3 linked regions of the Pelodiscus sinensis genome follow. The protein of the gene in region 1 interacts with the protein of each later gene in a pairwise test. Links are inferred from orthologs where the notes say so. Each region holds a gene or a part of one and is shown on either strand. Other genes may lie near its edges.

Region 1 (8,344 bases):
GTACCCGCCATCCCGTACACATGGGTATTACTCCGAGACGGTGCACACAAGGCCTTGCATGCACCTAAAACCCAGCAATCTGCTCCTAAAGCCACAGGCCTCCCACACTTGAGCGAATGGAAATTAGTTACAACAGCCACCCTAGAGAGAAAGCCACAGCCTCTCTGCAGGCATGGCCCTTCAAGCTCAACGCTGAAACATACCCTCATCTTTATCCTGCACCTCACTAGTCAGGCTCTCAGCATTGCCATCAGCAGATGGCTCAGAGCTGCAAGTCCTGGACTGGCTTGGGGGTTCCCCAGCTTCAGGGGGTGCTGCAGCCTCAGCTAAGTCGCCTTCGTCTAGCACCAGATTGCTGTTCATTTTGGGAAGACCAGCAGGCAGCAGGGCAGCTTTGTCTTCCCCACCTTGGTCCTTCATCATGTCTCTTCTTCCCACTCCGTCTCAAACCCTGGTGAAAGAGAAACGTCACCTGGGTTTAGTTGTAACAGGATTTTAGCAGAAGTCAGCATCCTACAACATACTCATTGCTAGGTGAAATCAACAGGGATTGAAACATTCACAACTGAGAGAACAAGGTTCTTCATTGAGCCTCTCCATCCACGGCTAGTCGTAAGACTCAGATGCTGCCTCGTACTCAATAGAAGCTTTGTTAACTCCATTCTGTTGTTGGAAAGTAAACGCACCCTTCCTCCCACATCTGTAAGCTATCCCCCTCACCATAAAGGGCTCCATGTCAGGATAGCTGTTCCTCCAGGGTGGCTAGAGACAGCTTCCTTTGGAGCCAAGCCAGTAACTCCCAAACCCACATAGAGTAAATGGCTCTGTCACCTCTGTATTCTGTAGATTACAGTCTTCTGATGGACCCACCACTCCACCCTTCACTTAATGCTTTGCTCTCAGAACATTTCATTCCATAAAACACCAGGAAATGGAGTCCAGCATTAGCCTAGAAGGGCCCCTGCAGACTGACACGAGAACTTCCCTCTCTAGTGTTGAATGCATTGCTTTTACTAAGCACACAGACTCTCCTAGCCTGGGAGGGATGGACAGAAGCCAAAATCTTGACTCAGGATCCTCAAGATAGGAGAAGGGCCAGCTTCTCTTAAAACACCAGGCTAAGAGGGAAAGCATGTAGTTTCTAGGAAGAGCTGGTAGTCAGCAACAAAAAGATTTACCAATTATCTCCATGAAACAGAACTGACACACACAGGCCAAATTCCAGCTTCTTTCCATTTCACACCCTTCCAGAAATATACTCTCTTTCATTATTTTACCCATATCCCTCATTCACCACTCAGATAACAGGAAAAGCAAATGCTGCAGCAACTCTGCAGTCTCCCATTTCAGAAACAAAATACAGGACTATGTAGCACTTTAAAGACTAACAAGATGGTTTATTAGATGATGAGCGTTCGTGGGCCAGACCCACTTCCTCAGATCAAATAGTGGAAGAAAATAGTCACAACCATATATACCAAAGGATACAATTTAAAAAAAATGAACCCATATGAAAAGGACAAATCATTAACTCACAGGCATTTACCTTCCTTTCCCCCCCCCCCCCCCCGCATCCCCCCTCTGTTCTGAAATGTGATTTGTCCTTTTCATATGGGTTCATTTTTTTGATTGTATCCTTTGGTATATATGGTTGTGACTATTTTCTTCCACTATTTGATCTGAGGACGTGGGTCTGGCCCACGAAAGCTCATCATCTAATAAACCATCTTGTTAGTCTTTAAAGTGCTATATAGTCCTGTATTTTGTTTCAGCTACACCAGACTAACACGGCTACATTTCTATCCCATTTCAGAGACACTCACAATTATGAAACAAAGGCAGCGTAGCTGTCCCAGGACAATCTGGATCCCCCACAGAATTATTTGATGAAAGAAACATTTTGTCCCAAATTTGAGCATAGCTACACACAATTAAGTCTATGCTTCTTCTCAGAGAGCAACTCAGGGCACAATCAGCTTTATGAAGCCAGGGACGGAAGTTAAAAGTAACGGGGGCCAAGGCAAGCATGTCAACTATTCTTACACAGACACCAAAATGTACTAGGAATGTGAGTGGGTAACCAGTTACCTGGGAGCAGCCCCCTCCCCCCGTAACCTGTGGCCTCCCCTGCATCTGGCAGCCCCTAGCCCAGGATCCTGCTTAGTCAGATAACCGGTTAAACATTAGGTTAACCTACCATTTAATCAGTTAACTGATTAATCTAGAATTTACACCCCTAATATGTACCTCTCTCTCACATACAGGCTTAGCAGCACTGATTTCCCACATTGCGTACAGCCCCTTTGTCAGCTCATCCCTATGAATGCTCCATCTCCCTGTGGCATCCCATGAATTGTACACATCCCTACACTGCCCAATGTGTGCTCTTGTGCTCCACCCAACTCCACAGGCTCCACTGCCTCTGCATCCTCTGCAAGTGCCAGTCCCCACAGAGCTGTGCACGATTGTCCCTATCTATCTCCTAAGCTGCTAGGTACCCATGATTCCCCACATTTCCCTGCCCTCACCTGCACTCCCACAGCACCCAGCCGTACAATACCATCTGACACTACCCAGTCACACCCCCAACTGCCTCATTCACATTCATACATCCCCTGCCCTCCCAGCCTCGTTCACACCCATGTTGCTCCCCTGCCCCAATTCACACCCCATGCCGCTCCCTTCTCCCCCTGCCCCAATTCACACCCCTATGCTGCCTCTGCCCCAATTCACACCCCTATGCTGCTCCCTCCCCGGCCCCATTCACACCCCTATGCTGCCCTTCCCCAATTCACACCCTGTGCTGCCTCTGCCCCAAGTCACACCCCTATGCTGCTCCCTCCCCGGCCCCATTCACACCCCTATGCTGCTCCCTCCCCGGCCCCATTCACACCCCTATGCTGCCCTGCCCCAATTCACACCCCGTCCCGCTCCCTCCTGCCCCTCCACCTCCCCCATTCACACCCCTATGCCCCTCCCCCCACTGCAGTGACGTCACTCACGTACCGCGTGACGTCACCGCCGAGAAGCTTGACGTGGCTCTCTCGCCTCCGCCAATCCGTAGCGCCCGCCGGCCGCACTCCGGCAGAGGGGCGAGCTCCCCTGCATGCGGTCCCCGCTCCCCGCGGCTCCTCCTCAGCGCCGAGCTCTGCGAAGGGCCCAGCGGCAGCAGCCTCCAGCCCGGGCCGCTGAGCGGGTACAGAGTGCGCATGCGCCGTCATCCGCCGGCTCCGCCAACCAATCCGCGAGCGGGGCGGCGCGGGGCCTGCCGGGAAATACCGCTGAGCGGCGGCGGTCGAGGCGGGCAGCCCGGGCGACTACAGGGCCCAGCGTGCAACGCGCCAGGGGGCGACAATCCAGCTCCCGGCGTGCAACGCGAGAAGGGCAACGCGGGGGGGGGGAAGCTGTGAGGAGGGGGCCAGGGAGGCACTAGCCCGGCAGGGGGGGGGGGGGAAGCTGTGAGGAGAGGGGGGCAGGGAGGCACTAGCCCGGGGGGGGGGAGTTTGAGGGGGGGGCAGGGAGGCACTAGCCCGGCAGGGGGGGGGAAGCTGTGAGGAGAGGGGGGCAGGGAGGCACTAGCCTGGCAGGGGGGGGGGAAGCTGTGAGGGGGCCAGGGAGGCACTAGCCCGGGGGGGGAGTTTGAGGGGGGGGCAGGGAGGCACTAGCCCGGCAGGGGGGGGGGAAGCTGTGAGGAGAGGGGGGCAGGGAGGCACTAGCCCGGGGGGAGGGGGGCCAGGGAGGCACTAGCCCTGGGGGGAGGGTTTGAGGGGGGGGGGCAGGGAGGCACTAGCCTGGCGGGGGGCGGAAGCTGTGAGGGGAGCAGGGAGGCACTAGCCCGGGGGTAAGGGGGGCCAGGGAGGCACTAGCCCTGGGGGGGGGGAGAGCTGTGAGGAGAGGGGGGCAGGGAGGCAATAGCCAGGGGGGAGGGGGAAGCTGTGAGGAGGGGGGCCCAGGGAGGCACTAGCCCCAGGGGGGGAGCTGTGAGGAGAGGGGGGCAGGGAGGCAATAGCCAGGGGGGAGGGGGAAGCTGTGAGGAGGGGGGCCAGGGAGGCACTAGCCCGGGGGGGGGGGAGAGGGGGAAGCTGTTAGGAGGGGGGCCAGGGAGGCACTAGCCCCGGGGGTGGGAGCTACTATCTCCAGGGGGAGCTGTGAGGAGAGGGGCAGAGTGTAAGGGTGTGAACAGGTAACTGGTTACCAAATAGGCAATACGCGATAAGGCTGAAGCCCACTGGCTAACAGTTAACCAGTGTCCAGGAGCAGCCTCCCGCTCGCAGGTGGGCAGCTGTTCCAGGCTCATAGGCCCACTGTGTCATGGGCTAGGCCAGCAGAGTTGGCAGCCCCACGGGCTGCTCCAGCCCAGCTGAAGTGGGCCCTCACCCAGGATCCAACTCAGTCACTTAACTGGTTTAACCAAACATTTAATTGGTTAACAGATTAAATGGGATTTTACATTCCTGCCAGGGAGGCACTAGCCAGGGTTGGGGATGGTGAAAAGAAAGCTGAGAGGAGCAACAGCTACATGCATTAGCCTAACTATTGCCATGACTTTGAACCATAGTCTCTACCCCCACCCACTTTAGGGAGCAGCAGTGGTAGCTTTCTTTTGTTGACATTTTTCACAAGTAAGAGGGCTAGTCCAAGGTAGGTGGAGGATAGCAGGGGCTAGCCTGTCACCTTAGAATTTACCTACACCCCAATATAGATTCAAGTTCCCTAAGCTGCACAGCCACTAGAGGGGCAGTCTGAGTCTGGAGCAAGAGAAGGCCAGGGCTCAAGTCAAGAAACTGGCCTAGTGGAAACAGCCCAGACGTACTCCTTTGGCCTTTTATAGCCTTAGCTACTTCACAAAGTAAGTTTGAATTACTCAAGTGGCTGTTAAGGTGTTTAGGGAATAGCTGCACCTTTCCTACAAATGGGGAACTATACCATTAGTTATGGTGGAAATCATATTCCTCACCTTTTACAGGTTGAGTCTGCAATAGTAGTAGGCTGAATTGCACACTTGGATCCCCACAAACCAAAGGAACAGGTCTGGCTGCACCATACTGCTTACTCAAGCAAAAGTAAACAAGAGGATAATAGAGGGTCACATTTTGTCTGGAGGAAGTTGTGTATCATACCCTACAGTAGAAACTCACAGTTACAAATAGCTCAGGAATGGAGGTTCATAAGTCTGAACAAAACAGGGTTGTTTTTAAAGGTTTACAACTGAACTTAATACAGCTTTGAAACTGCACTTTCCAGAAGAAAAATATTTTGACTGTCTTTCAATGAAAGTAGTTTCCTTGTCAATGTTTTTTAAAACTTTTTTTGGTAGTTCATTTAATACATGTATTTGCTTCCTCTCCCTGCTGCCTGATTGTATCTTTCCAATTCCAAATGATGTGTATGGTAGGTATGTTAAAATGCATTTGTGTAAATATGTAACTGCTGTAACTTTCAGTGGTTACATGTTAACATGCAGGGGGAGCTGTGTGTAGGCAGCAGAGTTAACTGATGAGCCTGGCCCTAACTGTGTACTTGGGTACACATTCACATCTCTAGTATATGGTTGATTTGTCTGTTCATTACTGAAGTTCTACTGGGCTCAAAGAAAACTGCAGTCCCAGCACTTAGCAAATTACAGCTAACTCATGGATTAATTACTGCTGGTCTGGGTAGTCTCCAGTATGGTCAACAGTACAGTATATGCATTGTGCTGTTCTAATTAAATCTCCCTGAGAATGAATTAAGTAGTTTAAAATGTAGGTATATTGACAGGGACCTTCTTTCTCCCTTTCCACAGTGCTGCCTACCTGCCATACACAATAGTATGGGAGACAGGCTAGTTAAAGTAGCATTTAACCTCAAACTAGCCCTGCTACCACTGATTTACAGCTAGGAGCGCTTAGACCTTTAGCTGCATCTGCAGTCCCAGCTGAGTGAAAAGGACAACGTAGAATTTGAAGACCGCTTCGATTAGTACATTTTTCTCCTCTGGAGGAAAGAGTGAAATGGGCATAATAGAATGATCCCATATAGCAGTAGATGAGGCCTGGGCTGGCACAGTTCAAATTGTGCTTGCCCAGCAAAGTGGTCTTTCCCCCATGTTGAATTTACACATTTCCAAGCAATCCACCATCAAAGCTTTTGGAGAGTTTTCCTAGCATTTAGCTATGCATTTATGAACAGAATAGTGTGTCTGCTGACAGTGGCCAATACCATCTGCCCCAGAGGGAGGAATCACAACAGGTGATCTCTCTCCTGTCACCTACCTCTAGAGAAACAGAGGCTAGGGGATATTCTTACCCATCCTGGCTAATAGCCATTGATGGACCTAACCTCCATGAATGTATCTTTTTGGGACACTGTTAAAGTCCTGGTCATCACCGCATCCTCTGGCAAGTAGTTCCACACGTTGACTGTACGGTGAGAGAAGGAAAAACTTCCATTTGTTTTAAACCTATTAATTTGATGCCCCCTAGTTCTTCTATTGTAGGAATAACTTTTCCTTATTCATGTTTCCAAACCAGTTTACCAATTTATTATATTTACCAATATATTGGGTGTAAGAGCCCAGCAAATCCATGGATATCCACTGTATAACCACAGCTATTCACATTCATGGCTGTAGCACAATATGAAAACAAGTTTTGTATCTAGAACCTTGCAAATATCTGCAGCTCATTTTTGCAATGTGGATATAAATTGCGTCCATGCAGGGCTGCCGGTGTACATGCTTTAGCACTGGGATGTTCTGTTCATATGTGAGCACCCTGCTGGTATATTTCAATGCTGCTGCTAGGATCACCCAATTGACACTAAAAATAATCCAGACAGATTTGAGCACCTAGGTCAGCTTTGGAACAGACTTTTTATTTTGCATCTTGTATCTATTACAGTGTTGGCAACTTAGATACATTTTCAAGTCAATGTGTATAGATATCTTTTATCTGTACACATCACACTAAAAGCAAGTGTGTATCCTCACAAGGCCTACCAACCCAGGTACAGCTATAATGTACCTCCAAAGGGCCACACATTGGAGAAATAGCCAGGATTGTTCAGCTTTTATGAAAGAAATGTTTGGGTTTCTTTTTTTAAAGTAGGTTGAATCACTCTTGGCTGTTGATGGGACTATAGCCTGAACTCCTGTTCCCAGATTTGAACTGGATAAACAGCTGTATACTGTTCCTCCCATTTGTGCCATGCTCACTAGTGGCTGCATAACAACCCAACCATGAACTGATTAAAGCGGTGGGGTGTTAAGGACATAGTACCAGTTCCACACCAAAGGTTTGTTTCATATGAGTTAGTGCTTAAAACAGTTACTGCAGCAGAATAAGCCTTTTAATTGCCAGTCCTAAGGCCTATAAGTTTCCTTTAAAAACCCCTTAAGTTCTTAAGGTTCCTGGATTGTTCCAAGGAGGGATCCAGAGAAGATGAGGAAAATTTACAAAATACTATTCACTCTAATAGTCTTTTATCCAGTTCACTAGTCAGACCTCTAGCTACACATATCCCTTCTCATTACACTAGTCCCAGAAGGCCAGATCTTATATTTAAGACATATTTCATTTAGTTTTGGAGTTTGCATAGACCTGTGCTGGTAAAAAAAATTAAAGAGTGTACCTTTCATTTATCCTCCCATGTATTACACAGTGAAATGGCAAGCAGGAATCCAGGTTTACTACAGAACTAGATCTGCACCTCTAATGAAGGAAAGTAGGATTCAGATGGAGCTCTACCTACTTTAGGGATCTTTTCAAAGTCACCACACTACTTCTGTGTCAGACAGCTGCTGCATGTTTGAGTACAGGTGTGTATTGTGTAAAACATCAAGTACAGACTTAAACCTTAAAATGGAAAGAGGATGTCTACGTCTCAAAAATCAAGTTCACATGATACAGACAGCTTATTTGCTCTAGGTCAACTGAAGAAGCCCAAGCTCCACCCAGTAAAAGGATGAAATCTTAGGCCCTAACTGAAGTGATAAAGTATTAAAAGATTACCTTAACGTAGGGTCAAAGGAGAAGGCTATTCACTCTACTAAAGTTCTAATTTAATTCTAATGCTTTAACAGATGGAGATACTAGAAGTCTGGAATGCTTTTCCCTAAAACGGATTCCAATGAGTAATTCCAAAGGGATCATTCTGATATAAATCAGCTACCTCTCCCCCCACCATCTCCTTAACCTGGAGATGCCTACTCCATTAGTCTGATGCAATTCAGTTTCCAGAATGAGGTGTCTGTCAAGAATGCAAGGTCAGCCCTAATGCTACATTACAGCATGGCATACAGGCCTCAGTGCTTACAGAATAGGAAATGTAACCAAGGATGAAGAGATTTAAGTCTGTGCATTTG
Region 2 (8,170 bases), on another chromosome or scaffold:
CATTCTCACTTATATGCTGGTAGATATGCAAATATAACACTTAATTTTTCTATTTTCTGCCAATGCTATAGGGCTTCTTAAACTCAACATAGTTTAGAGCCTCAGCATGTCTTAATCTGGCCTTGCCATTGGACAAAATTCTGGCACATGCCACCTGAGGTCTGTTGTACATATGCTCAGAAAATTTAGGACAAAATTAAAAGAAACGGCAATCCTATGTGAAGTCAGACTGTAGTAAATCTAGTGCATATGTGGAATAAATAACTACAATCTAATTGGCCAATAATAAACACATACGGGGGGCTTATATCCTGAATTTTTCACTTTGTGAAAATTCCTGTTGGACTCTACATGAAATTTTGATTGAGTAAGGAGTTCAGAATTAGGTCCTGGGTTACTTTAATGTTGCAGAATATTGTGCCTGTGCTTAACTTTAAGATCATGGTTAGTTCCATTGGAGTAGATAGGACTATTCACATGCTTAAAGTTTGGTATGGGATTCAGTACCTTGCTGGCCTGGGGCCATAAGCATTGTGAGGAGTTTGATCCAGCACATATTAAGTGGATGGGAGTTTTGCTGTTGACTCAGGTGTTGACATGATCTGGCCCTTATTTAGTGCTTTGTAGTAAGGAAAGGAATTAAAAAAGGAATTAATTACAGAAGAAAAGGGATAAAAACATAGTGAATCCTCAATGGACAGGTGCGTAAAAGCTTCATGCTCTGGTCCAGAACCAATGTGGCTTATTTATCAGCAACTGGGAATTTGCAAGTCTGGTTTTTTTTTCCAGATAGAACCAAGCTTACTTGCTAAAGAAAACACATTCCTTTTGCATTACTTTTCTATGGAAGCAACCCCTTGGCATAGACTAAAAGGCCCTGTTATATTTTAAATAGTTTCAAAAGTCAAATTTCTATAAAAAGTAAAGTCTAGAGACATGGACAATAAAACCATAACTCTTTTGAAAGTTTATAGAGAGAAGCTATTAAATACCTAATCAAACAGTTAAAAAAATTCTTCAATTTCAATGCAACCGATATTTTAAGGGAGTTTTATATATAGAGAGAGAGCTGTATTTCTTTGGGAGAACAACTAAGAGGCTCACTAATCAGGAGCTAATTAATAGGCTGGGAAGATTTAGTCAGTCTCTGGGTGAATCTAATGATTTCAACCACCTCCCCTGCTGCAGAAACCTTTATATTTGAATAGGGCCAAGGCCATTAATCACAGACTGAAGAGCCCTTCCTTCTATGGCAACAGAATTCCTAACAGTGCCTTCTGCAGTGATCAGTCTCCAACTGACTACAAATTATCAATACTGATTACCAGCTTGCTGCAACGGGGAGGGGACGGCGGGCTCAGCACTGCAGGGCTGGCTAGACTCCCACTGCCCTTGTCTGTCTGTTTGCATACAGAGCTGTCCCAGGCCTTTTCCCTAGACGTGACAACGCCAGATTAGACTGCCTTTACCCGCCCACCCCGTGCTGATTTCGCAGATCAAGCGAAGAGCACTGGTGGTTTTAAACGCAGACTTCGTGTCTGGCGCGTTCACCTTCTCTTTGGACAAGTGATGGAGAACGGAAACGGGCGTTTTGCCCCAGCGGTTCAGGAGTGAGTCCAGGGGCTTGCTTTCCAGCGGCCAGGTAAAGGCGTTTAAACCTTTGCTTTGCTTATAGGCTGGGTGGCTGCTGTTTGGCAGGGAAGCATTTTGCAACTCTGGTTTCTCAAGCATCCTCCACAGGTCTCCCCTCCCCCCGCCCTTTTCCAAAGGGCGCAGGAAGGAATTTGGTGAGACGGAGTCTGGAGAGCCTCGCAAAGAACAGGCTGGGAGCTGATGCCTTCCGCTCCTTTCTGCACCCGCTGGTCCCACCCATTTTCTCCACAAAGCCGCTCACCGCCAGCAGCGAAACAAAAGGGGGTGGGGGCGAATGTCCTGCGCGTGCCTCTTAATGTTAGCCCCCGGGCCGTGGTGATTTCCCCAGGCGGTGCACGACAGGGGAGCAGCTAAGAAACCTGGATGCTCCCCATAGTCTGGCGCTGCAGTCCTGGCTCCGAGCCTCTGCAGTCATTGGCCATCTCGCCCCTCAGCTCCCGCGGGGAGTGGGCGAGTCGGCAGAGCAGCGCGCTAGTTGGGTGGGGCTGCTGAAGCCACAGCCCGTTTGCCTGGGCGCCAGTGGGACAAAGTAAAAACCGCACCCGCTGGAAGCGAGGCCACAGCACGGGACTGAGGATGAGCAGAGAAGCTGCGGTTACCTACAGAAAATACGGTAGTTGGGTACCTCAGTTGCCCAGCGCCCTACTTTCCCGGGGCAGCCAGGAGCGAGGTTCCAGGCTTGAGGTGGCTCTTTGACAAGCAGCTGGGGGGTTGCTCTCCTAGGGGTGGAGGCCCGCAGCCTCAGCCTTGCCATCCCCTCCCCCCTGCTGTTTCCTGTCTGAGGGGATGGGAAGGCTGCCTGTGCGCTGGGCCAGGCTCCCTGGGCGTGCCCGTGCGGAGACAGCAGCAGCAGCCGTATGGGTGGGGTCTGTCTGCCTGCATTGTGCTGGGCGGCTGGAGTCCGTGGCGCTGAGCGCTGCAGGTGCCCTCTCCCCAGGAACTCCGGGAGCAGCGGTGCGCAGTGTTACACAAAGAAACCCAATGTCACCCCCTCCTTAAAACAAAGGGCGGGCCCGTTCTCTGCGAGGCGACGGGGTTATTTATTGAATTAGCAAAAGAGAAAAGTCTCCCTCTGAAGCCTGGCGCCAGGGACAGGGAGGGGTCTTCCATTTTCAGCCACGAAACGCGTCAGTTTCACTTCGCAAGGGGTTAGCTTTGAAACAATATCACACACAAGAGAGAGCTGAAATGAAGAGAGAGCCCTAGCTGGAGACCTGGCGATAAGGGGGCTTTTAAAGTAGCGCCCACACACCATATTTCAGAATAGGCAAGGTCACTTTTTGGTGTGTCACTAACTCCCCACCCCACCCTTTTATCAAATCAAATAACTCCCTTTGAAATGAGTGTTCAGCTTACTTGCCCATATCACCCAAGAGCAACCAGCCACCAGATCTCAGGCGAAGACTTCAAAAAAGCCCCCGGCTCCCAGCCCGCTCCCAGTTTTTTTTTTAAATAAAAACACAAAACAAAAAGATGTAACATTGTCTTAGCCATTAAGGCCTCTTAAGGGAGCACCCAAGACCGCTGCTGGTCCTAGGAAATAGTGGCTGATGCATTGGCTGAAGAAAAAGAGATGCGATTTCTTACCCATTGCTGTTTTAGCCATGGTGGGATGGATGCAGATTCTCAGAGGCTGTGAAGGCAAAGGGGTCCAGCTACAGCAGTGGAGAGAGAGAAGACTGAATAAGGCACTGAGTCAGCAGCGTGGGGCTGTGCAAGAGAAGGAGCAAGAGGCAGGAGCCCATGAATAATTATCACTCCTCTACTCAAGCAGATTGGCTCCAGAGGTCCCCTGACATGACTCCTGCGGAGCTAGAATCTCCAAGCATTAAATATTGATCCACCAATGGTACTGGAGTACAAAGTGCCAGAATGGAGTTTGAAATGGAAATCAGTCCTTGAATGCCTCTCCCCCCTCTCTTTAGTTTTAATAGTACAGTCCATGTCAAATGTTTTATGTCTTACATGAAAAGCCTATTGGGGTTGAAAGCTCTCCTGTTGCTACCTGGAAAATACGCACAGATGCATTTTTTTAGCGCATTTTAACACCAATATGACAAAGGGAGAAATAATTCAGAAGTTTTCTGAGCCATTTCAGCATAACTGTAGTTTTCATTAGTCTGCCTCTGGCATTACTGTACATTGGCTATTGCAGCACACACAGATGCTTGTACAGCAAATTCTTGCATTTCAGTATTTTTTATTTTATTTTTCAGACTCATCTATCGATGATACATTCAGTGGTAAAGCCTAGAGGGTGACAGTGACCCTAATTAATATGTGCAAAGTGCTCCAGAAAATGCAAAGCAGTCTCAGTGTGACAATTATTATTTCATTACCACACTGGCCACCTCTCTGAGGCACCATCAAAACAACAATGGAAATTAACCTGACTTGCTTGGCAAAAGAGTGTGGAATATGAGTGACTACTCAAACATCACCCCAAAAAGGGTTGCCTGGGGCTTGAGGCATTATAAGGTATTTATCATCTTTGGGAGAGAAAGGTTTTCCTTCATTGTCTTTAGGGGAAGGGCAGTGATTTGGCTGGAAACAAATTAAGAGAAATCTGAAAGTCATCTGAAGCTCTGGGTTGAAATATGTTGGAACCCTAATATATGTTCTAGTTGGAAGCAAGCCTCTGCCCAGGAGTAAGCAGTGTACAGAGCATAGCATGGGATGGAGGGGTGAATAGGTTATCTTATCATCCTTTACTATTGCATTTATCTAATTACTACTGGACTTCCTCTTCCAGAGAATGTATCTTCAGTTTTGCCCAGAAAAAAAAGCTTAGAGATAAGTATTACAGCACAGATAGATGTAGGCATCTGGCGCATTTCTATTTAGGGGTAACAAAGGTGGGGAGGAAGAACCATTCTAAGGCGTCTGTCTGTCTGTTTCATATGTCCATTGCCACCATAGGCTTCCAGAGCGTGCTAGGCCAAGAGTACTTTTCTCCTTCCTCCAGCTGTACCATTCTCTCTCACATTTGCCACAGCTCAGTGATCCTTGTGATCCCAGCATCGCTTTCCAGTGCGGTTGGTTGTGCCAAGAAAGGCAGCCTCCCTTATGACAGCACGCTATGGCCACCTTTCTCCTTGTCCGTCTCCATCTGCAGGGTGGCTGGTTTGTGTTAACGAGAGCAGAGGGCTGGAAGGAGGCTGGGGAGGGGAAGCCACATGCACGCGGAGAAATGCAGCCTGTAGGGTGTGGGGTGCGTGTAACCGCATCAGGGTGCGCCTATTGCAGCGTCCAGGCTCTTTGAGGTGAGCTGCCAAGAGGGCTTTAGTCTGTTGCCCGCTGGAGCTGAGCTCGTGAGGTGGCTTGCTGGGGTGAGGTGAAGAGTTTAGTTCCCAGACTGCCCCACACAGGACTACTCAGCTACACAAATGGCAGGGAAATGGCCCCGGATTCCCACGCCCCTGTGAGTGGGTTACAAGGTCCAGTCCGTTGTGGGCGGAGGAGCAGGGGGGCGGTTTGGGGAGGAGGGGACAGCTGGCGGGTGTGTGAATGAAATGGGGGATGGTACTGGGGCAAGGAGAAGCTGGGATGGATGTACCAGGGGTTGCTGCTCCTGCGGGGCAACTGCGAGGCTGGAGCTAGGGAAGGCGCCGGGCTGACCTGGGGGAACCTCCCGAAGGGACCTAGCCAGACACTCCCACTGTAGCTAAACTCCCCAGACTAGGGTAAGTCTTCTCCTTTCATCTGGGCCACCAACCAGACGTTTCGGGAAGGAGCCGGGAGCTCTCCAGGGTGCTGAAACTTCTCTGGGCCTTGCGAGGACTGAGCGATAGCTCCTCGCATCCTCCCCTCCCCCATATTGCAGGCCCAGCTGGATCCAGGGCCGTTCCGATCCGCTGCAGCAGATGAGGCGGGGGAGGAGGCGAGATGCTCCGCAGATCAATGCACTTGCTTAGCTCTCCTGCAGACGGCCCCAGCCACGCCGGGGCTGAATGCGGAGCCTGGATCCATCGGGGTTTGTTTCTGCCCCTTGTCAAGTTTATAACAAGCAAGAGCGGGGCATCCCCAGCTCACAGGCTCATTGGGGTTAGCCTGCGCCCCCTCCCCCGCCAGGGCACCCCGCCGCTCTCAGCTGTCTGGCTGCATTGCCTGGAGGGAGCCTGCCCTCTGACTAGCCCCTCAACCTCCGGGCTCCCGCAGTGCTCCCGAAGCCAGCTCCGCTCCTGGGTTGGATCAGCTTTGTCCAGCCAGGAGGGGACCGTGGCTTTGGGAAAGGGGAGCCGCGCAGAGCAGGCGGGAGGTGCTTTTGCGTCTGTCGGGGGAACTGCAGGTTAATGGCTGCTCCGAGGCTTTGCTCGCCAAGCCCCCTGCCCAGCACAGCAGCGATCTGCCGAGTGCCGCTGGCTTGGCACCGCGCAGCTCGGCCGCTGCTTTTCATTCCAGGCGGCGACGGACACACCCGTCTGCTGCCCCCGGGTCACCCCACCCCAAAGCTCTCCCCCCGGAGGAACCCATGGTCCCTCCCAGAAGGGAGAGAGGGGCCCACGCAGTGTGATTTGCAAAGGAGGGTGAGAATGGTGCAGCTGATGAGTAGCTGAGGGCGGGGCTGCTGGTGTCTTTTTTTTCTCCGGCCACCATCAGCTGAGACATAGAGAGAGAAGAGCTCAGAGCCAGCCCCTGCCTCTCCCTCCCCCATCCGCAGGGATAGATGAGGAGCCAAATCGAGGAAGCTTTTGCTCTCAGCTGCCGTTCAGGCAGATCCCTCCCTCCTCCCCCTTTCTATTTCTGAGCCAATTCATGTTGCAGAAAAGCAGCCCCCTTCCTGTATTGTCAGGCCTGGGAAGAAAAGCTGTCTCTCCCCATAGGAGGAGGGAGGCACTGGGCACTAGAGCGATTTCTTTGCCGAGAAACGTGCCCAAGAAACTACATGAAAATCGATGCCACCTCCGGCACTTGACAAAACACTTATTGCTAGGGAGTAGGGATCAGACACTCCATATATCATTTCAGATCCACAGCCCTGGTCTGGTGAGTTCAAGGGGGCTTTTAGAAGCAAATGTGGTTTCCCAGAAAAGTCAAGCTTGATCTTCTCTTTCAGGGGAACTTTATTGCCAAAGGATGGGGATGACTGAAGCTCCTGTATGATGTTGTGGTATATGTGTGTTGTTGAACTCACAGCTGCAACCTGATTTATGAATACAGTCTGAATTGATTTATGAATGCCATCCTTAATTCCCTCCAAAGGGCTGGAGAAGCATGGGGTGAAGGAGGAACTCTGGTCCTGGCTCTTCTGTGACCTTGGCAAAGTCTTTGAACCTCTTTCTTCATTTTCCCTAGCTGTCAGCAGCAATAATAATTGTGCCTCTGGGTGGGACTGAGCAGATAAATGTTTATATAGCACTTTGAAGAATACCAGTTCTAGAGAAGTGCTAAAAATGGAAGAGATTTATATTAAGTCCTTTGCCTTGCCAGTGCTGGGAACAGCACAGGTCCCAGTACAGATCTTAAGGACCCTGGTGTTCTCCTCTGTCCATTGTGAAAATGGACGCTTCATTCCTACCCTTTGTTTTCTATCTTTTAATAACAGTGAGTTGTCCTGTGGCACCTTACAGACTAACAAAAATGTATAGTATCATGAGCTTTCATGAGCAAAACCCACTTCCTCAGATGAGCTGGAAGCATCTGATGAAGTGGGGTTTGCCCACAAAAGCTCATAATGCTATATCTAATCTATCTATCTATCTATCTATCTATCTATCTATCTATCTATCTATCTATCTATCTATCTATCTATCTATCTATCTATCTATTTGTTAGTTGCTAAAGTGCTACAGGACAACTAGTTGTTTTTAAAGTTACAGATTAACATGGCTACCCCCTCTGAGACTTTTTATCTTTTAATCAGTCACAAAAAAGTTCTACTGGATGGGATGAGTGTCTTCTATAGCAAATTGTGAGCTGAGAGGCCTTAGTGGGCCATCCACACATAGCTGTCTAACTCTAATTATATATCTATCTGGGGGGGGGGGGTGTCACCCTGGCATAAAACATATGTTTGAGATACAGATACATAGCTAATATTCATAATTCCAGTTAGAAAGATAATACATGGATTTAACCAGGATAACCACACGTAGTAGATTTTATCATGTGAGGTGGCAATGGAAAAGTTATGCTTTGTATGCAAGTTGTTGCAGTTGTGTAACAATGGGTCCACATCAGTGGGAGGCAGTGCTGACTCCCGCTATTGCTCATTAAAGGGGGAATTGCAATGTCACAGTCTATAACCAAGCAATTTATAAGGCCCAGCTCTGAGTCAGGGTGGGACAGAAAGACAAAGGTTTACCAGGGGTGGTTCAATAGCAGTTTAAAGCTCTGGCTGGGTCCTAGCCGGGCAGAGGTCAGGTCTCCTAGCTGGCAGAGAGCCAACAAGTGCAGGTGTTTTGCCCCCACAGGGGGAATCTGTCAGCTGAGGCGCACCCATTCCACTGCAACCTAGCCCAGGGCCCTGACAGTGGCAACATGGCAGCCACTGGGTCAGCAGGGATTTGGACAATAA
Region 3 (8,190 bases), on another chromosome or scaffold:
TTTCCAAAGTTCTGAAAACATCTGTGAGAATATTAGATATACAGCTTTTACTACCTTTTTAAAATTTCACAGGGGATAAAATATTAAGGAATCCAGCTGTTAACATTTGAATGAATCTGGCATTACAGCTTATACACATGATCACATAAATAATACCTTGTTAGAAGAATATTAAGTTTGCAGAAATAAAACACTCAAAAGTTCAGAATGCCAGAACTCAGATTGTGTGCAACCTCAGTGTGCCTCCCTTGTGAGTACATATTTTGTAACACTATTTATACAATCACATACTATTTTTTTCATGACATCCCTGCCATATTCAGTAAAAGGTAAGCTATTTGATATTTCTTTTTCTCCACATTCAATATGTGGACACAGGCCTTGTTACACACAGTCTACCCAAAGCCTGCCCTAACTAAAAAATTAATAATATGCTCTTAAACTGTGTTCTGGAGTTATTTGCTCAATAACTTTCCCCTGGACTTTTTTTTTGCTCAACAAAAAAATCCTTGGTGTTCCTCATAAAAAAAATTTTGTTCCTCAGTCTTAAAAAGTTTATGAAACACTGCTCTATAGTGTTCATCACTTTAGTTTCTGTTTCACGAATATTAACCAATATAGCTTCACAACCCCATTCTGAAGTAAGATGGTATTCTCCCTCTTATACAGCTAGGGATCTGGGAAGGTTGAAATTGCTACGTGTCCATTCCTTTTAAGTTCTCAAATTGAAATATCTAGGACATAGGTGACATGTAATGGAAATTGGGGAAGGTTAAGTTTCCCCAAATTTTGTATTCCTGCTAGGTTTGCAAACTTTCTAAATGCAAACCCTTGCCTTGTCCCTTGCCCCTTCTCTGAAATCCTGACTCTTCTCTGAGGCCCCACCTCTTACTTGTTCCATCCCCCTCCCTCCATCATTAATTCTCCCTCACCCACACTCACTCTCACCTGGCTGAGGCAGAGGGCTGAGTTGGGAGGGACGGCTCTGGGTGAGGATACAGGTGGGGGGTGGGGGGGAGAGAATGTGTGTGGCAGAAATGGAGGGTTCAGGATGCAGGAGCAAGCTCTGGGTTAGGGCAGGGGATTGAGGAATGGGAAGGGATGAAGTCTCCATCTAGGGGCGCAGGCTCTGGGGTAGGGGCCAGGAATGAGGGGTTTAAGGTGCAGATGAGGATGATAGCTCTGAAAGGGAGCTAGGATGTGGGAAGAAGTTTGGGGTGAGGCTCTGGCTGGGTGATACATACTTCAGGTGGTTCCCAGAAGTGCCAAAATGTTGTTCTGGATCCTAGGCAGAGGAGTGAGGAGGCACCACCCCCACAGCTCCCATTGGCCATGGTTCATTGTCAATAAGAGCTATGGAGCCAACGTTCAGGGGCAAAGGCAGTGCTGGACATGCTGGCTGTTTCCTGGAGATGCACTGAGCAAGGGCAGGCAGGGAGGCTGCCTCAGCACCACTGTGCTGCCAACTGTCCACATATCTATACAAATGACACCATTACAGGATCTAACCATGTAAGCCACAGCTTTGGGGGCTCATACACCTGCATATTAACTAATGTGATATATGCCAGCAATGACTCTGTCATGTATATTGGTCAAACCAGACAGTCTCTGCACCAACGGATAAATAGACACAAATCAGACATCAGGAATGGTAATACACATAAACCTGTAAGAAAACATTTTAACTTCTTTGGGTATTCAATAATGGATTTTAAAGTAGCCATCCTTATACAAAAGAATTTTATCACCTGATTACAGAGGGAGACTGCTGAACTGGAATTCATTTACAAGTTCAATGCTACCAACTTATGCTTCAATAAAGATCTTAACTGGTTAACACGCTACAAAGGCATTTTCCCCACTTTTGATATTTGCATCTACACATCAAATGCTGTGAATTAAACACATCCACCTTCACTTAATTAGTTTAGTTAACACTGGTCCTACAATTGACAGGTAACTTCTTTTGCTGTTATATATACCTCAAATTCTGTAATTTCATCTCCAATTTATCTGACCTAATAAATTCGTTAGTCTCTAAGGTGCCACAGGAATGCTCACTAGTCTGTAATTGTAAAAACAACACAGTTACCCCTCTGAGGCTACGTCTACACTGGCGCGTTCTCACGCAAAAACTCTTTTACGGAAGAGTTCTTGTGCAAAAACTCTTCCAGAAGAGAGAGTCTACACTGACGTGCTTTTGCACAAGAGATGTAAACGCTCTCTTGCGCAAGAAAGCTCTGATGGCCATTTTAGCCATCGGGCTTTCTTGCGCAAGAAATTCATGTTGCCTGTCTACACTGGCCTCTTGCGCAAGAACAGTTGTGCAAAAGGGCTTATTCCTGAGCGGGAGCATCAGAGTTCTGGTGCAAGAAGCCCTGATTTCATACATTAGAATGTCAGTTTACTTGTACAAGAACATGCGGCCAGTGTAGACAGGCAACAAGTTTTTACGCAAGAGTGGCCGCTTTTGTGCGAGATCGCGCCAGTGTAGACACAGACTGAGACTCATTACTTCCTTGTTCAAATACTGATGGTTTATGTTAGAGAGAGCATTTCATTGGGAGCTCATGTTCAGCTGGATGGAGTATCTAAATTCTTTACAAAGTCACTGCTTTTCAGGACTTACCTGAACCCTCTTTACTCTAGTTATGCAGAAGCTCTATGGGGAAAAATGAGTCAATTTTTTTCATATCCACCATTTTAAGCACCCAGCATTTAGAGGTGCTAAACCCTTGAGTATTCATAGTCACCTTTGAAAGATACATTAGATACATAACACAAAGGTAGCTCAATATATTTGATAAATATAGATACTGGGTGACTACTGTATATTTGAGAGTTTGTCTGTCTGTCTGTCTATTCATCTCTGTCTGTCTGTCTTCAAGAACTGCTCCTGAATGGTAAGAGATAAGACCACCAAATTCAGTATACAGCTTCCTCTTATCCTAACTTACAGCAAGGTAAGTGTTTGGATGTGCCTGGAATGAGATTGATTCTCATAAAACCATACAGAAAACAAACAATCACCAGACAGGTGAAAGGAGCTGACTGGGAGTGCACCCCGCTCCTCTGGGACTGCCCCAGCCCTGAGCCTCCCACTCCTCAGGGCATCCTTTGGAGGGGTGGCTAAAGCCTCCCCCTCTCCCCCCATGCATTCCTCCCCTACCCTCTGCAGGTAAATTTTTTAGCAGGCTGGCCAGCAGCCCAGCTCAGTCCTAGCTTGTGCCTAGTCCAGGACCTACCCTGCTGCAGCTTTGCATTAGATGTGTATTAGGAGCCAGGTGGGCAGGTAGCCTGGTTCAGTTCTAGTTCATGCCAGGTCCAGAAGCTCAGCCCCTCCCCTGGACAAAGCTGCTGCCACCCTGCGCTGCTGCTTCTGTATCAGAGGCAGTAGCACGGGGCAACAGGCAGCCGTTCCACAAGGGGAACTGGTTTTTTAAACTCTCTCCTTGTGGACCAGATCTCACCTGGCACCCCACGCTGCTGCCACTGATACAGAGGCAGCAGTATGGAGTGGCAGAGGGATCCTTGTGGGTGGGGAGGAGGCACATTAGCTTCCAGCCCCACACCCAGGGACTATAGAATAGTCGACTAACCGACAAGAATTCATGAGATTAATCGACTATTGAATTAACCAATATTTAACATCCCTAATGGGAACATTGCTGGCTGTTCCCCTTCATAAGGGAGTAAGGGGAAAGTACAATTTGCTGCATTCCTCCCTCTGGCTGGGGAGCACAGGGGGCAGATAAACCTAGTCCTGCCCCAGCCAGGAGACATGCAACCAGCCCCGGCTATATTTGTCAAATATATTGAGCTACCTCTTTGTGTTAGGTACTCCATGTATATTTAAAAATGACTATGAATGCTCCAGGACTTGGCACCTGTAAATGCTGAATGCATCCTGTTGAGGTGAGTGGGATTTAAACATGAGCCTAAAATTCACCATGTATGGAAGCACTTTGCTGAATAGGGATGGATCTCTGAACTGGGGCCTGTGCGCCTTTCCTCACTCCCCTTCACATAAAAAGCCTACTGTGTAGGTCCCTCCCTTGTAATTTCATGGCATTTGTGCAGCTGGAGTTATGGCTCATGGGGTTTTATTTATTTAACTCGTGCTCTTAAATGTGATGCTATGACTATTAAGAAGTTATTCAGTGGGAGCGTCAGAACAGCCTGGCAGGGCTGCGGAGCTGCGTCAGCAGTACACATTGTGGATTAATGCTGAAGAAATCCAGCGTGTCTCCTGGAATAGACAAGGGTTAAAAAATCCAAACCTGGAAGTGTGGCGCGCAACCTCTGGGGAGCGAGCGTGTGACCGCCCCGCAGGCAGTGGGCGCCGCAAGATGGCACTAAAGGGAAAAGCGTAGCAGGCACGTGGCGGGAGAGAACGCTGAAGCCCACTTTAAGAGTCAGAGCCAGCCGCTGCCCCTCCCGCCTACAATTCCCATGATGCAATGGGGGGGGGGATGAAGGGGGAAGGGCGTTTCCGCAGTCTCCGGTAGCGTGTGCGCAGGCGCCGGGACAATAGGCTAGTCTACCAGTCTCCGGACCTGCCCAGCCGAGCGGGTTTTGTATCCGGGGGGAGAGGTTAATCTCGGCTCGGAGTGCTGGCGGCTTCCGGGCGGGGCGGGCAGTGGTGACTTCGTTCCGCGTTTTCCCGCCGCGCCTCCCTGACTGGCCGCGGGGGATGGACGAGGACGGGCTGCCCCTCGTGGGCTCCGGCATCGACCTGACCAAGGTGCGGCCTCCCCACCCCCAGGCAGGGGGGGGGCCAGTCGCTCCCTCTTCCCCCCCCCCCCCAGGCGCGGGGGTTGGAAGAGACCCTGCCCCTGGGGCTGCTCCCCTCTGCCTCGCCTGTGGCCCCCGCGGGGTAGCCCCGCCCCCCAGCAGAGCGTTCCGGGGCTGTGTGACGCGGCTCGATGGCGGTTTCTCTTCTCTCGCTCCCCGCGGCGGGGGGGGGGGGGACAGTTGCGGCTCGATCCTCGCTTGTGAAGCCAGAGCCTGGGTCGGGGAGCTGCGCTGCGGTGTTTTGTGGCCGCGCAGCCGTCTCGCGCCCCTCGCCAGTGACGTCACGCTGGCCCCGAGCTCGTGTGTCTCCAGTTGGAAATCGCCGCCGCTGGCGCGTGGGCCGCTCATGGAACGCTGGGGCAAGTCGCCGGCGCGTGGTGGTGCAGGTGGGCCGCGGCCTCAGCGCTTCCCTCCTTCCCGGCCCTCTCCCTGGTGCTGCAGCCGCGCGCACCTTCCCTCCCCTGTGAGGTTGGAGTGACAGCGCTGGCTCCCTGCCGCGGGGAGGGTGGGAGAGGGGAGTGCCCTGAGCCGCCTAGGCTGGATCTGGCGCACATGGGTACGAAGTTGCTTTGTGCACTGCCACTCCCCCTCTCTCTTGCTGGGGGAATGGCAACATTGGAAATAGCTTGCCTGGAGGCTTTCCCTACTGCTCCCATTGGCCGGAATCCTGGCCAAAAATAGGAGTAGCGGGGGCAGTGCCTGAGAACAGTAGGAAGCATAGAGCCATGGAAGTGGCCCCGCCACCCCCTTCATTGCCCAGACTAGGGATGTTAAATATCAGTTAGTTGAATAACCTCATGAATTCTTCTTGCTTGGTCAACTATTCTATAGTCGCTGGGGCGGGACCAGAAGCTGTGCAGAGTGCCAGGCAGGACTATCCGTGAGGGGAGCCAGTTTAAAAACCAGTTCTGCTTGTGGACTGGCGGCTTGTAGCCCTGTGCTGCTGCCTCTGATAAAGAGACAAAAGTGCAGGGGGCGGTCTGAGCTCCCAGACCCAGCACGAACCAGAACTGAGTTGGGCTGCCTGTCTTCCTGGCTCCTACTACACTTTAAATGGAGAGCCACAGCAGTGGTCAGTCACAGACCCGGTGTGAGCCAGAACTGAGCTGGGCTGCTGGTCAACCTGCTAAAAGATTTACTGGTTGGGAGGGGAGGGAAATGCGTGTAGTCTATAGCGTTAACCTATAAGCTTTTGCTTATCAGTTAATTGACTACACTGTTACATTCTAGCCCAGACCCCTGCCCCTAGCCCAGGCCACTCCTGCCCCTCTCTCCTGCCCAGACCTCATACTTCCCACCCCCTTCTGCACCCATTTTGTATCATGGGTAGTTGGCTAGTGGTCCACAGAAAGGTTTGCATTGAGAGGGGTGGGCAGTGGGCCAAAAAGTTTGAGAACTACTGCTATAATGGCTGTCAGAGTGTTTGGGGAGCACAACTTCAAAGTGTCTTGTGTCATTGCTCTGAGCTCATTCCCAGCTAAAATCTGTGAGCTGAAGCAGTTCCTCCCAAGCTGGCAAAATCAGACCATTTCTGTTCTCTCTGCTCCTTTGCATTTGGTTTCCAGTGTACTTCTGTGTGATAGTTAGGTCTGTCCCTTGGGTATGGCAAGTTGAGACAACTACTCCTGCCCTTTGTGTGTGAATGTTGTGCAGTGCTCAGGCTTAATCTCTGGCAATAGCAGACATAGGCACCAACTCTGTGGGTGCTCTTAACCTAAGGCACTCAGAGGAAGAAAAAAAGTGTTGGGTGTTTGGCTAGTCCCTGTCAATGCCTCTTCTTCCTGCCCCCTACTGCCAGGCCCCTTGCAGCACCTACTGCCTGCCAGGAATCAGCTGTTTCAGGTTGTCAGGAGGTGCAAGGGAGAGGGGGCAAAACTGGTTAGGAAGAGGCAGGGTGGAGGTGGGGCACTGGGGAAGGAATGGAGTCAGGGCAAGACCTGGGCAGAGTCAGAAGGAGCATCCCTCTTCCCTCCCCTCCCCCCAGCAGATTAGAAATAGGCTGATTTTTTCCGGGCCCCCACACCCTACTAGGGACTGCCTTGGTGATATTTTAAAAACAAACAAAAAAAACCAACACTGTTTTTGTGAAAGGTAGTGACCATTAGTGATGTGCCTAAACAAACTTTCTAAACTTTAATTTTGTTATAAATAAATGAAAGTCCATTACAAACGTTCAGGCAATGCCTACACTGCCTTCTCTTGCGCAAGAGAATATGCAAATGAGCTGAAGTGGTGAATATTGCTGTGCCTCATTTGCATACTTAATGAGCTGCCATTTTGCGCATGGGGCTTTTGCACAAAAAGGAGATGTCTATACGGCTCCTTTTTGCACAAAAACCCCCTTGTGTGCAAGAGCCGTTCTTCCCAAAAAAAGCAGCAGACTGTCTCGTGCTCAAGAGGGGATTTTTGCACAAAAATGGTGGCTCATTAAGTATGCAAATGAGGTGTGGTGATATTCACCGCCTTTCCTCATTTGCATATTTTGCACAAGAGAGGGCAGTGTAGACATAGGCTAAGTGTCTTTTTAAGGGCAATTGAAGCCTAGCTTCTGAGTCACATACAGGTCAGGCATCTTATGTCACTACAGGTTGGACCTCCTTGGTCTGGCACCCTCAGGACCTGACTGGTTCAGGATGAGGGGTTTTGCTAGACATGGGGAGGTCATTTCACATCCCCCTGCCACTGACCCTCCCCCCAGCCCTGGCCTGGCCAGTGGTCTTAGCTGTCTCCATCGCTCCTCCCCAGACACACACACCTACTGCTGGCTTCCTGGTCCTGGCGGGTAGCCCTGCTGCCACCAGCCCTTTACCAGGACTCTGGTTTTGGAACATCCATTGTCCTGCCAGGATACAATGTTGCACTGTTTTAAGGCTCCCTATTTTAGGGCTCAAACCCATGTTTAGAGAGCATATGGGTGAGAAATCAATGGCCATTCCAAAAAAATCTGTGTTTAGTCAGAAGGGCTATAAAGTTGATACTACACAACCCCATTTAAAAGTTCAGAGTGTGTTTCTAATGTTTTATTTCTTGCTTGGTGTGAAACAGAACACTAAAATCAGTTATCTTTATGCCTCTTATTCCTCCTCCTATAATTAGTGGAACACGTCCCAGTCCAGTATTTATGGATTTCCCCATTCACAGTGATCTCAAGAATGTATCCCTTGGGAATGGAGCGGGCTTCCAGTAGTTCAAAAGCTTTTCTAATGTCTAACCTAACTCCCTTGCTCAAGATTAAGCCCATGTTTCTTTTTGTCTTGTCTTTTTGTTTTGTCAGCAATTCATGTTGCCTGTCTACACTGGCCTCTTCTGGAAGAGCTCTTGCGCTGGCCTCTTCTGGAAGAGCTCCGGAGAGGGAGCGTCAGAGTTCTTGTGCAAGAAGCCCTGATTTTCTAC

The links. The genes of interacting proteins can lie anywhere in the genome.
Region 2: the proteins of TXLNA (region 1) and STMN2 interact in binary tests that used the Homo sapiens proteins (3 or more experiments, as listed by UniProt). The two-hybrid records come from large-scale screens. The link is inferred for Pelodiscus sinensis from reciprocal best matches to the Homo sapiens genes TXLNA and STMN2.
Region 3: the proteins of TXLNA (region 1) and WASHC3 interact in binary tests that used the Homo sapiens proteins (3 or more experiments, as listed by UniProt). The two-hybrid records come from large-scale screens. The link is inferred for Pelodiscus sinensis from reciprocal best matches to the Homo sapiens genes TXLNA and WASHC3.

What each region holds. Positions count from the first base shown.
Region 1 is NC_134735.1:3,555,866-3,564,209, reverse strand, and holds the start of TXLNA (alpha-taxilin), read right to left. Parts: upstream 3,167-8,344; 5' UTR 3,007-3,166; intron 452-3,006; 5' UTR 424-451; coding exon 204-423; intron 1-203. UniProt on the Homo sapiens protein: May be involved in intracellular vesicle traffic and potentially in calcium-dependent exocytosis in neuroendocrine cells.
Region 2 is NC_134712.1:49,858,129-49,866,298, forward strand, and holds the start of STMN2 (stathmin-2), read right to left. Parts: upstream 3,411-8,170; 5' UTR 3,260-3,410; coding exon 3,241-3,259; intron 1-3,240. UniProt on the Homo sapiens protein: Regulator of microtubule stability. When phosphorylated by MAPK8, stabilizes microtubules and consequently controls neurite length in cortical neurons.
Region 3 is NC_134711.1:99,545,142-99,553,331, forward strand, and holds the start of WASHC3 (WASH complex subunit 3), read left to right. Parts: upstream 1-4,780; 5' UTR 4,781-4,928; coding exon 4,929-5,183; intron 5,184-8,190. UniProt on the Homo sapiens protein: Acts as a component of the WASH core complex that functions as a nucleation-promoting factor (NPF) at the surface of endosomes, where it recruits and activates the Arp2/3 complex to induce actin polymerization, playing a key role in the fission of tubules that serve as transport intermediates during endosome sorting.